Linked DNA regions of Elephas maximus indicus. The protein of the gene in region 2 interacts with the protein of the main gene of each other region in a pairwise test. Links are inferred from orthologs where the notes say so. Each region holds a gene or a part of one and is shown on either strand. Other genes may lie near its edges.

Region 1 (7,555 bases), on a different chromosome or scaffold from region 2:
TGACCATGGTTTCAGGGGACATCTAGGTCAACTGGCATAACAAACTGTATTAAGAAAATGTTCTGCATCCCACTTTGGAGAGTGGCATATGGGGTCTTAAACGCTATCAAGTGGCCATCTAAGATGCATCAATTGGTCTCAATCCACCTGGAGCAAAGTAGAATGAAGAACACCGAAGACACAAGGAAAACATGAGCCCAAGAGAAAGAAAGGGCCACATAAACCAGAGACTCTACCACCCTGAGACTGGAAGAACTAGATGGTGCCAGGCTTCCACCAATGACTGCCCTGATAGGGAACACAACAGAGAATCCCTGATGGTGCAGGGCAAAAGTGGGATGCAGACCTCAAATTTTAGTAAAAAACCAGACTTAATGGTCTGACTGAGACTGGAGGGACACCAGAGGTTATGGCCCCCAGACTCTCTATTAGCCCAAAACTAAAACTATTCCCAAAGCCAACACTTCAGACAGGATTAGACTGGACTATAAGACATAACATGATACTAGCAAGGAATGTGCTTCTTAGCTCAAGTGACACATAAGACTATGTGGGCAGCTCCTGTCTAGAGGCAAGATGAGAAGGCAGAGGGGGACAGGAGCTGGTTGAATGGACATAGGAAATACACAGTAGAGAGAAGGAATGTGCAATCACATTGTAGGGAGAGCAACTAGGGTCACATTAACAATGTATGCATAAGTTTTTGTTTGAGCAACTGACTTGAATTGTAAACTTTCACTTAAAGCATAATTTAAAAAAAAAAAAAAAAAGCTAGTGAGCAGCCATCTAAGCTGCACCAATTGGTCCCAACCCACCTGGAGCAAAGGAGAATGAAGAACACCAAAGACACAAGGAAAATGTTAGCCTGAGAGACAAAAAGGGCCACATAAACCACAGACTCCCTCAGCCTAAGACCAGAAGAGGTAGATGGTGCCCGGCTACCACCAATGACCGCACTCACAAGGGAACACAACCGACAGTCCCTGACAGAGCAGGAGAAAAGCTGAGTGCAGAACTCAAATTCTAGTAAAAAGACCAGACTTAATGGTCTGATTGAGACTGGAGGAACTCTGGGAGACATGCCCCCCAGCCTCTGTATTAACCCAGAACTAAAATCATTCCTGAAGCCAATTCTTCAGACAAAGATTAGACTAGACTATAAGACATAAAATGATACTCGTGAAGAGTATGTTTCTTAGTTCAAGTAGATACATGACTAAATAGGCAGCTCCTGTCTGGAGGAGAGATGAGAAGGCAGAGGGGGTCAGAAGCTGGCTGAATGGACATGGGGAATATAGGGTGGAGGGAAGGAGTGTGCTGTCTCATTAGGGGGAGTGCAGCTAGGAGCACAAAGCAATGTGTACATAAATTTTTCTATGAGAGACTGACCTGATTTATAAACTTTCACTTAAAGCACAATAAAAATTATATATATTAAGAAATAAAACCTGGTGGATTAAGATTAACAAATTGTGTAATTGGTCTTACCTTCCCCCTCAACCCCAAACCAGGAATTTTATGCTCTGTTGGTGGCAGGGTGGGGAGCTGTGTTGAAATGTTAAAACAGTGATTAGTTCCTAAAGATGGCTTATATTTTCAGAAAGTGATATAGGCCTGTGTCCTTCCTTTAACACTATATATATATATATATATATATGTATATACATATATATATATATATACAGCCTAAGGGTAGTTTTAAACTCATTTTACAATTTACTCTATCAACTGCTATGTTCTCTTCTGCCCCTCTGTTCACACTGTGTTCTCTGAAATGCATTTTCTTTTCTACTATACATATTCAATTCCATTTATTTTTCAAAATACTCATTCTTCAAAATTCAGCTCCTGTCTCTCCCCTCAGCAGAGCCACCTGACCTCTTCAGGCCACAGCTGTTATCTATCCATTCAGAACCACTGTTTAATCCATTTGAAATCACCATCCTCTCAAAGGAACTTTGGAGGCTGCAGCTTAGAAAAATCTGTTGTCGTCTAGTAAGATAGTTTCAACTAGCTGTATTTATAAGGCTTGTCTAAACATGATACAATGGCATCTCCTCAAGAGAGAAATTTTAGAATCCCTGAGCTAAAAGAATTGTTCGAAGACTAACAGTCTATTCTTCTTGACTCAAATAGGTATATCCGTTGGTGTAAGTAATCTCCAAGGTCTCTTTCAGCTCTAAAATTACGATTCCATAGTTCTTACCGACTAAATTATACTTCAAAATGTGTGTACAAACCATTTAAGTTCTCAAACGGTAAGAAAGTTCAGTTGTAAATTACGCTGAAAGATCTAAGGCCAATGCTCGGTTCAGGACAAAAACACAATAATCAACCTCATTACTGTCCACTCCCAAGGACGGGGGTGCACATCTGTGCACTGTGCCGCAAGTGACTGATTCACCGTGTGTACTGAGCACGCAGTAGACGCCAATCCGGGATAGAAAGCCGTTGGTCACTCTACCCCAGGCTCATCACTTTGGAACAAACCTGGTAGAACACCCCAATTCAGCATCACCCCAGGCGCTCGCAGCAACGGAGACCGGACAGAGATGCAGGGCAGTGACGTAGGTGTTTACCTAATTTTCCTCCCGGGGCCAGCTGGAGCCCTTAGCGCTGGCTCCCCTAAAGCCCTAGGCGCCCCAGCCTTCGTCCGCGCTCAGACTCCGATGCCCCCCGAAGCTCACCGCGACTTTCCCCCGTTCCCAAATCCGCCCCTTCGCCCCTTCCGCCTAGCCCTAGGGCACTTACCATCCCAGTACCAGGCCGGTGGTCACGATGAAGCAGGTAAAAACCACCGCGATATAGAAGAGCGGTGAGTACTCATAGAGCGTCACCAGAAAGACCGCAGCCATCAGGGTCCCTTTCTGGGCTGAGCCGAAATTCGACGGCCCGCCCAGCCGATCCCTGCCTAGCCTAGCCCAGCCCAGCCCAGCCCCCTTTGCCTGGGTAAAAGCACTACGGTGCCCCAGAGAGGACAAGCTTTGTGGGTGCGCACTCGCCTGGGATTCTCGTAGGCTAGACCTCGGGGCAGCCTCGCCGGCAGCAGGAGCCGGCGTGCCAATCACTACGTCGCCTGCAGGCTCGCCACGCCCCTCCCACTCCCGTCCCGAGCTATTGGCTTCGCAGAGGGGCGGGGCCGCAGCTCGCACCGCCCCGCACTCCGAGGGTTTGGCACCCAGCGAGCGTCTTCTTCACAGCGCATCGTCTTAGCGGTCGTCTCTTTTTCTACACGGGGGCCCACTCCGTCGAAGACTTAGGCAAAATTCAGGCTCTCTGATACCGAAGAGAAGCACAGTTCGAAATCCACATGCACCGGTTGTAAATCCTGAATCCCTGCAAATTAGATCCAAGGCACATTTGGAGGAGGAGTGAAATAATGCCACAGCTGTACTTGTTTTATCTGGAAGATTTAGATATTGGCACTGTACAAAACACGAAAAAGAGTCTCTACCGCAAGCACTTTGTATAAGCGTTGTCAGCCTTTTCTGATTGGACTTAATGATAAAAGAAAATCAGCACCCCGGATCCTCACAGAAATTAATCAACCGTCCTCTCACTCTCACATCCCCCCTTTTTCTCCTCCTCCTACACCCCTCAAATTAGATATTTAAACGTTTTTGTATTTCTTTTCACCGTATTATTATTTGCCGAGCAGAAGTTTTCGAGTACAGGAAAAGGCCTAAATCCCGTCCCCTCTCATTTCTCGCTGAGTCAGCTCCTTCGAGGTAGCCTTCCTGGAAGACTCTCACACTTGCACTGACTTCTCATTGGTCTGCAATTTAGTCCTAAGGCCACACCTACCCACAGCAGAGACCGGGAAATGTACAACAGTCTTTTATTCTGAACAGTAACATCCTCTGCTACAAATCAGAGTTTTGTTACCGAGGAAGAAAGGGAGAATGGACACTGGCACAGGTAACTAGTAGCCTCTGCCACAGGTACCTGGGTGGTGCAAGTGGTTTGCACTTGGCTACCAACCGAAAGGTTGGTGATCGAACCCACCAGCATTGCCTGTTTCCATAAATACTATAGCCAAGAAAACCCTGTGGAGCTCATTTCTATTCTGTAACACACGGGGCTGCAGTGAGTGAGGGTGGACTCCATGGCAGCATACTCCCAAAAAACTGATAAAACTGATGCTGGAGAAAGATGAGCTAAGCTTGTTCTATGGCTTTACATAACTCCTTGGCAAATTACCATGTTTGAGAAGTTTGGTTCTGCAACATAATATTTAAAGACTATATACTTGATTTATTTAGTCAACTCTCAATTGTTGGGTAATTTTTCAATATTATAAACAATCCAGCAATGAACACCCTGAAAGCTAGATCATTTCCTTATGATAAATTCCTAGAGGTAGAACTTGTGATTCAAAAAGTATGTACATTTTTCAGACTTTGGAGAAATACTGCTCTCCAGAAGTTTTGTAGCAATTTATACTCCTCTTTCATCCACAGCTTCGTCATCATTTGATATTGTCATTTAAAAATCTTGGCCAATTTGAAAGACAACTTTATTCAAATAAAATAATAAAGAATTATCAGAGTTAAAACAAAAATATAGGGAGTTCCAAGTTAAAGTGGTATATTACATGCATCTAATTTTTCTCCCCCCCAAAACTCCACTAAAATTACAGTAAAGTGATTTTAAAAAACAGGAAGAACATGAAATAAAATACCAGCAGTAACATAGTGGAAGATGAAAAACAGATGAACAAGGATAATCCACTAACTAGTCATGAAAGCCAGATCCCAAACTAGGAGTGGGGAAAACTGAGACACAGCCTGGTTTACTCTGAAGAGTTCTCAAAAAAGCAGGAACTGACAGAACCTCAACTCAAGCCCTTATCATTTCCCACTTGGATATCTGTTACAACCATTGAAACTTGTCACTTTACTTCCAAAATAGATTCCTTCCAGCGCAGTCTGCACACTGCTGTCTAAGATGACTTTTCCATAATTTGTATCTTACTCCATTCCACTGCTAAAAATCTTTACTGTTGTGCTATATTTCCTTGAGTATTGAGTCTAAGTTCCTTGTTTGGCACACCCGCCTCCACACGACCTGACTCCTACTTGTTTACTCATTTTCCACTCCTTTACTCATTCAGAAAATATTATTGAGTGTCAGATATGAGCCAGACACTATAGTAGGTGTTATTGTTAGTTGCCATCAAGTCGATTTCGACTCCTGGGATACAATAATAAGGAAAAAATAATGTATCTCAATTCTCATGGAGATTATCATCTAATGGAAAAGAAAAACATTAACCAAACATAATCTTGAGCAAAATGCAAAGGCTAAATTACAGTAAGTGCTATTAAGAAGAGATATATGGAGCTACGAAAGCATATAATGGGGCAATTGATTTGGTAAAGTAGACCATGGAAAGCTTCCCTAAAGAACAGATTGTTAAACTGAGATGTGGTGGATTTGAACTGCCAAACTTTTTGATTAGCAGCCATAGCTCTCAGCCACTGTTCCACCAGGGTTCGTTCAAAAGTCCAGGAAAGAAATATTGGTAACTCTGACTAGGAGGATGGTGAGGACTTACATACAGTACAATGGATCGTTAGTTAGAAATGGGTTTATCTGTAAGATAACAATAAGTAAATAACAGTGTCTTAATCAAGATAGAAAGGAGCCCTGGTGGTTCACTGGCTATGATGGACTGCTAATCAAAAGGTTGATGGTTTGAAACCACCAGTGACTCCACGGGAGAAAGATGTGGCAGTCCGCTTCCATAGAAATTTACAGCCTTAGAAACCCTCTGGGGTCGCTATGAGTTGGAATCAACTCAGGGAGTCAGAATCAAGATAGAAGTTTATTTCTCTTTTAGGTAAATCCAGAAGTGGGCAATTCAGGCAAGGTCAATGTAATGCTCCACAGTGTAAGAGACTCAGGCTTTTCCTATCTTGTTCCACCATGTGTGGCCCCCATTCCTAAAGTAACCTCATTGTCCAAGATGGTTGCTCCAGCTCCAGCCATCATGTCCACAGTCATGCTAGCAAAAGAGAAGGGAGGGAAAATCAGACACCACTGCCATTTAAGGAGACTTTAAGGACACACTTTCTGTTTACATCCATTGGCCAGAACTCAGTCTAGTGTCCACATTTCACTGCAAGAGAGGCTGGAAATAGTCTTTGTTCAGGGTGGCCATGTGCCTGGCTAAAGTTAGAAAGTTATATTACTTATAGAAGAAGGAAGAATCAGTTTGGGGGAGAACTAGGAGTCCCTGTCACAGGAAAAATGTACAGAACCTGCCAACAGATGAATGAATGTGGCTGTCATAAACTGAAATTAGATCATAAATCTCCAACCTCTCGCCACTCATCCTCTCTCCGGCCCTCCCGCTATCATCTATGGTAGGTTGAAAAATGGTCCTCCAAAGATATGAGGTTCCAATGGCTGGAAACTGTAAGCGTTACTTTATTTGGCAAGAGGGTCTTTGTAGATGTGATTAAATTAAAAATTTTGTGATGGGGAGATTATCCTGGATTATCTGGGTGGGCCCAAAATACCATCACAAAGTATCCCTAAAAGAGAGAGGGAGAGCAAGATTTCACACGCACACAGAGGAGAAGGCTATGTGAAGACAGAGGCAGAGGCTGGAGTGATACGGTCACCAACCAAGGAATACCAGCAGCCACCAGAAGCTGTAAGAGGCAAATAAAGGATTCTCTCCTGGAGGAAGTGTGGCCCTGGTATAAGATGGAGATGCAGAGCTGGATTTCAGTTCAGTAATACTGATTTTGGACTTCTGGCTCCAGAACTATGAGAGGATCAATTTCTGTTGTTAAGCCATATTTGTGGTAATTTGTTAATGCACCATCCTCTATAAATACCAGTCTCTAGCCTTACTGAATTACCAATCGCCTGAAACACACGAGAGATGTAGATTTGTGAGGCATGAAGCATATACTGTTTGGGATGCCCACTTTAAGAAAGTGAACTAAAAATTACAAATATAAAATTAAGTATAAGGCCTTGAAAGGGGCCCATGCAAATGAACGGCTCCAAAACTTAAGCTTCACTTGCTTTAGGGTGCTTTAAGCTGCACTTTTACTTTATCTGTCACCAAAATTAAAATTGTAAGACGCTGTGGATTGTTAAGTACATCCCAATTTTAGAGAATTAAAATGGGGGGGGGGGTTGATAACTCTTAACATCAATGAAATAAGCTGTTTGCACATCCCAGAATTGGTCAAGTGCCTTCGCTCTTCCCTCTTCTTTCTTCTTTCCTTACCCTACTTCTCCTGCCTAACTTCTAGTTGTCTTTAAGGACTCAGTTCTGAAACTCCTTTCTGGACTCTCCCCAACCCTTGGGGAGATGCCTTTAGCACAGCACCCAGTGTGTATCTATGTGGGAGCCTCCTGACCCTGTTGTAAGCATCCACTTGCTAGTTTGTCTACTCCACTGGATACCCAGCTCCCTGAGCACAGAAATTCCATCTGATTGACGTTTACGTCACAAGTGCCTAGCCTATGTCTGGTAGTTGCTCAAGATGAGCTTATCGAATGGATAAATGAATGAAAGAAGTTCTTCTCCATG
Region 2 (8,025 bases):
TCGAGCTCTCTGCCCCTCTCCCCATTCTTCGGATACCTTTCCCAATAGCTGAACAGACCTGACAGTGCGGTCGCTGAACACGAAAGAGTGAGGGCTGGCGGGTCAGAGAAGCTGGAGGAGCCAGAGGAGCTGAGGGCAGGACTGAAAGGTTCCTTTGCCCTAAGCTGAAAGTACATGTCTCCCCCCATTTCCTCCGGACATATGGACACCCCCTTCTTCCTCAAGCATGGAAACCTCTGGTGGGACCCCGATAAGAGACTGAGTCATGCCTACCCTCACTCACAGGCCAGTCCTAAGTGGGCCTCCACATTGCTCCAAAGGGCAAGGGGAAGAGAAGGAACTGAACAGTGCACTGGGGGTGGGAGTGGCATGGAACAGGATGCCTGGAAGTGTGGGGAGAAACTAGCCTGTTCATTCTCTGGTCTGACAACTGTGCTCCCCTTTCCATCATTTTTTTATGGAACAGCAACATCAGCCCCCCCCCGCCCCCCGATCTTGTGTCCCCCTCCCAGGGAACTCCTCCTCCCTCAAGACATTCCTGAAATGCATTCCAGAGGAGTTGGGCAATGGTGGGGGTAGGGGTGGGTGGTGATGGAGTACAGGAGGTCAAATCCCAGCAAGGAATGGAATTTAAGTGTACTGGTGGGAAGGAACTTGGGGTACGTGGAAAACACAGTCAAAGCAGATGGTCACAAAGGGGGCTGCAGGAAGACAGGGAGTTACAGAGAGGGACAGAGAGAGAGAGAGAAAGCTGAAGACAAGCAGAGCGTAGGAGGGTTGGGGGAGTAACACTCAGTCTGTTACCAAATTTGGCCTCTGAGCCCGTAACCGCGGGCGGGGCGGGGGGAGTTGTGGGTGAGACTGACATATCCGGCCTCAGGCTGCTGGAGCCTCACTTAGGGCTGGACTGGGCAGCTGAAGGGCTGGACCTAACCTCCCCCGACACAGCCCCTCCCCACTTACACCCCTATCCCACACACACTCATCCTCCCCAAATGCACCCCAGCCTATGCACAGAGCTCCTTCCCAATAAGCTACCTACTTAGTATCTCCTTACAAACATGTTATCTCAATCTCACAGCTCTATACATATCCCGCTACAGCCTCTTTATCTTCCCGTGTAGGCCCATCCATACATGCAGCTGCCCACAAATACATCTTCATCTCCAGCACACAGCCCCCTACCCCAACATCTCTCCTTCCATTCAGTATACATTCTCTCTCCATTCACCCAGGAAGCATTCCTTGAGGGCTGTTATGGAGAAGGCCCTGGGTCACACTATCCAGTGGCTGGGAACTAAGCTGAGTAAGACGTAGCCTTTGCCCTCAAGGGGAGAAAAGCGGATCAGCTAAGCACAGAATTTAATAGAGAGCAGGATGAGCTAAGAGCCTGGAGGCGTGTATGCAGAGAAGATATCCCAATAGGCGAGGGAAGTGGAACCAAAAGTCTCCCTGAAAGACGTGCCATTTGAAGTTCGATTTTTAAAAACAAGGATAATAAAAAAGAAATAATGATCTATCATTTATTGACAAGGTATCAACTGCTTTGCATACATAATTTTGTTTAATCCTTACAACAACCCTGCAAGGTAGGTGCCCTTATCTCCATTTTTACAGACTAGGAACCTGAGACTCAAAGAAGTATATGTTCAAATGTACTTGTCCAAAGTCACACAGCTAACAAGTTGTAGAGCCAGGATCCGAACTCAGGTTTCTCTGACTCCAAGGCCCAAGCTCTCTCCACTACGCCAGCCGGAGATGAGTCAAGGGTAGCATTCCAGGCAGAGAATAGCATAAGCAAAGGTGGAGAAGCAGGAAATCGCAGAGGAGCATTCAGGGAAGTGAGTAGGCAGGCTGGTTGAAGCACAGGGTACCTGCAAGGGAGCAGTGGTGGGGAAGTTAGGGTTCGGATAGAAAGGCAAGGGAGGACTAGAGAGGAGTATGAGGTATTTTACCTACTAGAGGGCAGCAAGTGGCCAAGGGAGGCTTTTGAGCAGAGAAGGAACATGACCAGAACTGGATTTTAGAATATAACTCTGACAGTTATCTTGGAGATTGGTTAGAAAAATACCATATTAGCACAAGTGAGAGATATGGAAGCCAGAGTTAGAAGGTGGAGAGGAAGATGTCACTTAGAAAAAAGGTTAAGAAGTAGAACTGACAGGACTTGACAAGTCTGTCCTGTCAACCCTCAGAGACCAGGGCCTAAAGTCAGGTGGGGGTCCCATAGCTTCCTGTCATCAGTAGCCACTTAGTTTCTGGGACAGCTTGAGTTTAGGTAAAGGGGAGAGGAATCAGGTTGAGCTGGGAATGTGAGGATGAGGCTGCCAGGAAAAGGGGACAGGTATGTGGTTAGTAGCCAGGTAGGAGCAGGTGGGGCGTGGTCAGTGACTACATCAGGCTAGAGATGGTGGAATGATGGTGGCAGGAAAGATGAATATATGATAAGTCACTGGATCAGCACAGGGGAAGTAGAGGAATGAATATATGGGCAGTGGCTAAGTCAGACTCAGGGAAAAGATGGAGTGAGGTCAGAGGCCAGGTCAGGCTACAGGGGATTGAAAAGAGATGGGGCTGTCGTCAGTGGCTAAATTAGGTGGGGTGTGGGTACGGTGAGAGGACATTGGCAATGGCTAAGTAAAGCTGGAGCTGGGGGCGGGATGGGATGCAGCCAATGGCTGGGTCAGGCTGGGTAGGGGCTAGGGCTGTGGTCAGTGGCTGGGTCAGGCTGGGAGCGAAATGGGGGTGTGGTCAGTGGCCTGGCTGGGCGTGGGATCAGCAAGACCCAGTTTCCTCTTTGGGTCTCGTTTCCTCTTTTCTGTTTGGGGAGTGGGGGAAGGGGATCTTCAATTGGACCAAGAAATTAAAGGAGGCTTAGAATTGGAAGATGGCACAGGGACTGGGGGTATGTGGCAGTTGTGTTGGGTTGGGGAGGCTGCTCAGATGAGCAGATGGTATGCAGATGGATGAGTGGGTGAAAAAGGTAGAAGGGTGTTTTAACATGATGGGAAAGCTCAGGTTTGGATAAGGGTAAATTAAGGTAGGATGTGTGAATCAAGTAGGGAAGGCCTGGCAGAACTGAGGTTGGGAATAGGTGGTAAGCAGATGAAGAATATGGAGAGTTAAAGGCAAGGGAAGTACTTTGTAAGGGGGTATGCAGGAAGGGTGTGGAATGCAGCGCCAGGGATGAGAGCTGGAGAGGAGGGCTTAATATCTAGGGAATGAGGGAGCAGTAGGAGTTAACTTTCGGTAGATTCGGCCACCCTCTTCTCCCATGACAAGAGCATTTCCTTGGTCTGCTTCCCCCTTAGTCATCAGTCTCTTCTCCCCTCGGTAGTTCTCCACTTATGACTAGACATTGTGCATCTCCTGGGCCCCTGTCCCTTTCTTATCTCTCACCTTGTAAACAACACAGTCCAGGAAACCCCAATCCTCCATTTGTGCTGGCCACAGAAAGAAACTTGGATTTAGAGAGTAGAATAGAGAAGCTGGATTCCTAGTTGCCTGCACTTCCAGCCCAGATTGTCATCATTCTGGGTTAAAGAAGTCCCCGTGACTACCTAGGAATAAGACTTTCCCCCAAAGCAAGAGCATCTACCTAGTGACAGCTTCTTAAATTTCATCTACCTGAGATCAACTACCCTGACCTCAATCATAACCCCTAAAGCTGCCCCCTAATTCCTAACATTAACTCTGACCCTAACCAGTTTCCTGATTGCCAATACTGGCTTTGACAGTCGTCTCTTTCCTAGCAGAGAACCATATTCAATGCCTGATCCTAAATGCTGACCTGACTTTACCGTTAACATCAAACTCCCTGACCTTAACTCTAAATGCTGAGTCTTAAAACTAATATTCACTTGTATTTTTATTCCTAACCCACCCCATCATTATGTATCCCTAATATTGACCTTGCCAACTTCTGTAATCCCTAAAATGGGCGTCTAACCTAATTCCTGTTGTTGACCTTTAACCCGACCCTGAACTCTAACTTTGATTTAGGCTGTCCATCCCAGAAAACAAAATAATGGCCTCAATCTAAACTTTACATATAAAATAGGCTGAATTTACACTAATAACTCGAAGTTTCGACCCTGGCTTTATAACTCTTAAAGCTAACGTTAAATCCACCACCCAATCTCATCTAATCCCAAACTTAGCAAAGCGTTCCTACTCACATATCCACTATCAGCTAACCTCAAAACCTATTACCGCCCTGCGCCTCACTGTGGTCACTCCTCACCTTCCCTAAAGCCCACCGCAGGCAAAGGACTGCGCCTAGGAAAAGCCTGGCTCCCGCAAAACGGCCTACTGAGCTCCGAGACCAAGCCGAGATATATTGGACCCTGACCTCTCCAAAAGGACCCGAAACAGACGCAGGACTGCCAGCGGCCCCGCCCGCCCGCCTCCCGGGCCGGGCCTTGCGGCCCCACCCCGGGGCTCTAGCTCGGCCCGGTCCGGCCTACCTGAGCTGCCCGGCTCTGTGCCCCGCCCGCCGGCCCGCTAGCCCGGTCGTTCTCCCGGTCGCTCTGGGGCTCTGGCCTCGCCCTCCCGCCGACAGGCTCTCTCTCGGCCACTTCCGTCCCCGGAACGTCCCCCACCCGCGGGCGGCGCCCTGGGCCCGCGCTCTATGGTTGCCGGGACTGCAGGAAGCTGCTCTGGCCCCAGCTCTCGATGCTCGACAGCCGGCCGAAGACTGGCAGCCCCTCCCCGGCAGGAAGCAAGGGCGCGCACAATCCAGAGGAAACGCCCGAACTGTGCTCGAGTTCCCTTTTAGTCTGGAATCCTTCCTTTTTTCGCTCGAGGCGAAGGCGGAGCCGGATCACCCGAATTCCCGCCCTCAGGGTGTGCGGAGGCTGACGGGACGTCCCCACTATTTGCATAGCTCCTGGGACGTGGCGCAGCACCCAGGCCACTTCCGAGTTGGAGGGAACTCCATGTCCCAGAGTGCCATGGTGGCGAGATGTATTACTTCCGTTGTGTTGGAAGCGGCAGAGACTGGATCTGGGAGGCGGGTCCGCGTGAGAGTGACAGCTAAAGGCAAAGTGCGGCGAAGAGGGACCCGAGACCAACAAACAACTGGGCTGTGGTTCGTGCCTGAAATTCGGGGGTTGGAGCTGGGTGGCGGGGTGAATCCCCGGGTTTCTGTCCATTCTTGTCTGTAGTATGGAGCTGGCACTGGGTCCCAACGACCAAGACCTGCTGGGTTTTCTGCTAGAGGAAAGCGGAGATTTGGGGGTGGCGCCGGAGGAGGCCCTGGAGGCTCCGCTGGACTGGGAGCTGCCGCTCTCCGAGGTGAGTGGAAGTTCTGAGTAGGTGAGGCACGGGGCTGGGGGCGTCCATGAGGCATGGGATGGTGGTGATAGGTCAAAGCCTGTTTATTGAACCATGTGCAGGTACTGAGTGATTGGGATGTGGAGGATTTCCTGAGTTCCCTGCTAAGTCCCCCAGCATCGTTGAAGGCTCTCAGCTCCTTCAATCCCTGTCCTGTCAGTCATGATCACAACTACTCTCTCCCACAGGAACATGTCTCCGTAGATACAGGTGAGTCTGAAATATTTGAGGTTTATGGGGAGGAAAGTGCTCATGGGTCTGGCTATTCATACTTTTTCTTTTGCAGACAGTGGGAGCTGTGGGAAGGTGGCCCAGATGACTCCCCTGCAGGTGAAGGAGCCTGCAGAGCAGGTACTTGACTAACAGGAGGATTATTCCTACATTGCGCAAATGGGGGCAGGATTCCCCATTCCTCTGACAACCCCTTGCAACTCTGCTTCTCCCTCCCACCCTCAATAACCCCAGGAGATTGAGGAACTGATACTGACAGAGGAGGAGAAGAGGCTATTGGAGAAGGAGGGGCTTTCGCTGCCTGGGACACTTCCTCTTACTAAGGTAAGTCTCCCATTGGCAGAGCAAAAGCTGGAGGGAGGTTTTATGAGTCTCGAGTAAGCTAATCTTGTTAATTTTCTATCAGTAACTTGAAAAAGGACCAACCAAGAAAGCAAACCCACTGTTGTCGAGTCAATCTGACTCATAGCTATCCTATAAGACAGAGTAGAACTACCCCATAGAATTTCCAAGGAGTGCCTGGTGGATTCGAACCGCTGACCTTTTGGTTAGCAGCCATAGCACTTAATCACTACACCACCAGAGTTTCCCAAAAAAGGACAGAGGTGGGAAATTTAGCAAATTTGTTGGTAATGGGAAGCTGGGGCATATAGGTAATATGATGGATGCAAAATGCTGGTTTTGTGGGGTCTGAAACATACAATTTCAGTATTCTCATTAAGAAAAAAAAATCATAATTATCAGCACAATATTACTATAGAGCCTTGTGCAAGTGAGGGTCTCTGACACTTAGATTTCATTGACTTCGTAGTAATCCACTTCTGGCTGAATTATAGAATTAAGCTTTAGATCATTCAGTAAGGTTGGAGTAACAGTATAACAAAAATAAATATAAATTCCTGCGTTTATATTTATTGAGTGACTTCATAGGCCCGGTATTGTGCAACTGTGATGAAATCAATGTTCACTGACAGAATGGTTAAGGGAATTTAAATATAAATTTCTTGCAAGTGCAGTGAGTCAGCAGGTCAGCAGGAAGATACGGCTACTGAGTGAATGGGACTTGGAGGCTGCATCAGTAGAGGTGTTGCCTTCAGAAGTGGAGTGACTATCCTGTTCTCTTTTGTATTTGCCAGGGCACATCTTAGTATTGAGTTTTGAACCCAGATATTTAACAGATATTAACAGGATGGAATCCATCCTGAGGAGAGTAGATAAAATGAGATAAAATTTTTGTCCAGGTTTTTTTTTTTTTAAACTCTGAAGAAATGTCAAATGTCTTAAAATAACTAAGGAAGGTTTGTTCAACACGGCTTCAAAGATTAGATACTAGGTCAGTCCAATGGATAGAAATTATAAGGAGGCAGATGTGGGCTTGGGAGATTTAAAAAAAATATAAAATTGTTAAAAGTGGTCCGGGCTTATTAACAGAGATGTTAACACCTGGCTCCCAGCGGCGTTCTGCACAGAAGCCGAGTGCATACTGGTCAGGTGATTGAACTCATTTGCCTTCCAACTCTTCGGTCCAGTGTTCCTCTGATGATGCCCCTTCCCCCATCTTCTTCCAGAAGGAGGAACAAGCCCTCAAACGAGTACGGAGGAAGATTCGAAACAAAAAGTCTGCTCAAGAGAGTCGTAGGAAGAAGAAGGTGTATGTGGGAGGTTTAGAGAGCAGGTATGAAAGGAAGAAGGGCTCAAGGGTGGGGGGAACAGAGGTAGTTGGAAATGATTTTAAAGGGAAGACAGAGGTCATATCCCTGTTATTCCCCCCAGGATCTTGAAATACACAGCCCAGAATCTGGAGTTACAGAACAAGGTGCAGCTCTTGGAGGAAGAGAATCTGTAAGCAACCCTCCAACATTAGTCCTTTCCCATCACCCCCATTTAATGCTGCCCCACTCTTTCCCCTGTTCCACACTTGACTTCTAACTGGGCAGCTCCTATATGCAATCTGGTACTTAGCCTTCAATGTGGGTCCAGGAAGCTCAAAGTACTGGCAGAATTCACAAATAACTATAACCAAGAAAGAGAAAGGAAGGAGGAAGAAACACTTCAGTGGGTAGATGGCATTTGATAGTAGATAGGATTCTAGGGGTGAAGTAAACATTTCAAGCAGAGTGAACACACCACCATCTGGTTTGGCTGGAACTCTGACACAGGTGAGTTGGGACCAGAAGGTAGAGGTTATGGAATGCCTGGTGAGGACTATGGGCATCATTGATCAGGCAGAACTACTGAAGGTATTTGCCAAAGGAATTTGTCAGGGTGGAGAGATTATTTTTTTTGTTGTTTGTTTTTAATGGGGAGCTTTAAGCATTTTATCTGCAGAAAAGTGGTCACTGGCAAAAACAAAGTAAGAGATGATCCAGGGCACAGATGGAGGGGGTGGCCTTAACAGGAGAGTTTCATTGTATCTCAGTTACCAGGCCAGGGTGTGCTCACTCTCTCTTCTCTCCCTTC

Evidence for each region. The genes of interacting proteins can lie anywhere in the genome.
Region 1: the proteins of CREB3 (region 2) and CGRRF1 interact in a two-hybrid assay, tested with the Homo sapiens proteins (2 studies listed by BioGRID and IntAct). The two-hybrid records come from large-scale screens. The link is inferred for Elephas maximus indicus from reciprocal best matches to the Homo sapiens genes CREB3 and CGRRF1.

What each region holds. Positions count from the first base shown.
Region 1 is NC_064828.1:66,802,067-66,809,621, reverse strand, and holds the start of CGRRF1 (cell growth regulator with RING finger domain protein 1), read right to left. Parts: upstream 3,016-7,555; 5' UTR 2,856-3,015; coding exon 2,752-2,855; intron 1-2,751. UniProt on the Homo sapiens protein: Able to inhibit growth in several cell lines.
Region 2 is NC_064827.1:44,514,050-44,522,074, forward strand, and holds the start of CREB3 (cyclic AMP-responsive element-binding protein 3), read left to right. Parts: upstream 1-5,018; 5' UTR 5,019-5,166; coding exon 5,167-5,295; intron 5,296-5,396; coding exon 5,397-5,544; intron 5,545-5,620; coding exon 5,621-5,685; intron 5,686-5,799; coding exon 5,800-5,889; intron 5,890-7,133; coding exon 7,134-7,240; intron 7,241-7,338; coding exon 7,339-7,407; intron 7,408-8,025. UniProt on the Homo sapiens protein: Endoplasmic reticulum (ER)-bound sequence-specific transcription factor that directly binds DNA and activates transcription. Plays a role in the unfolded protein response (UPR), promoting cell survival versus ER stress-induced apoptotic cell death.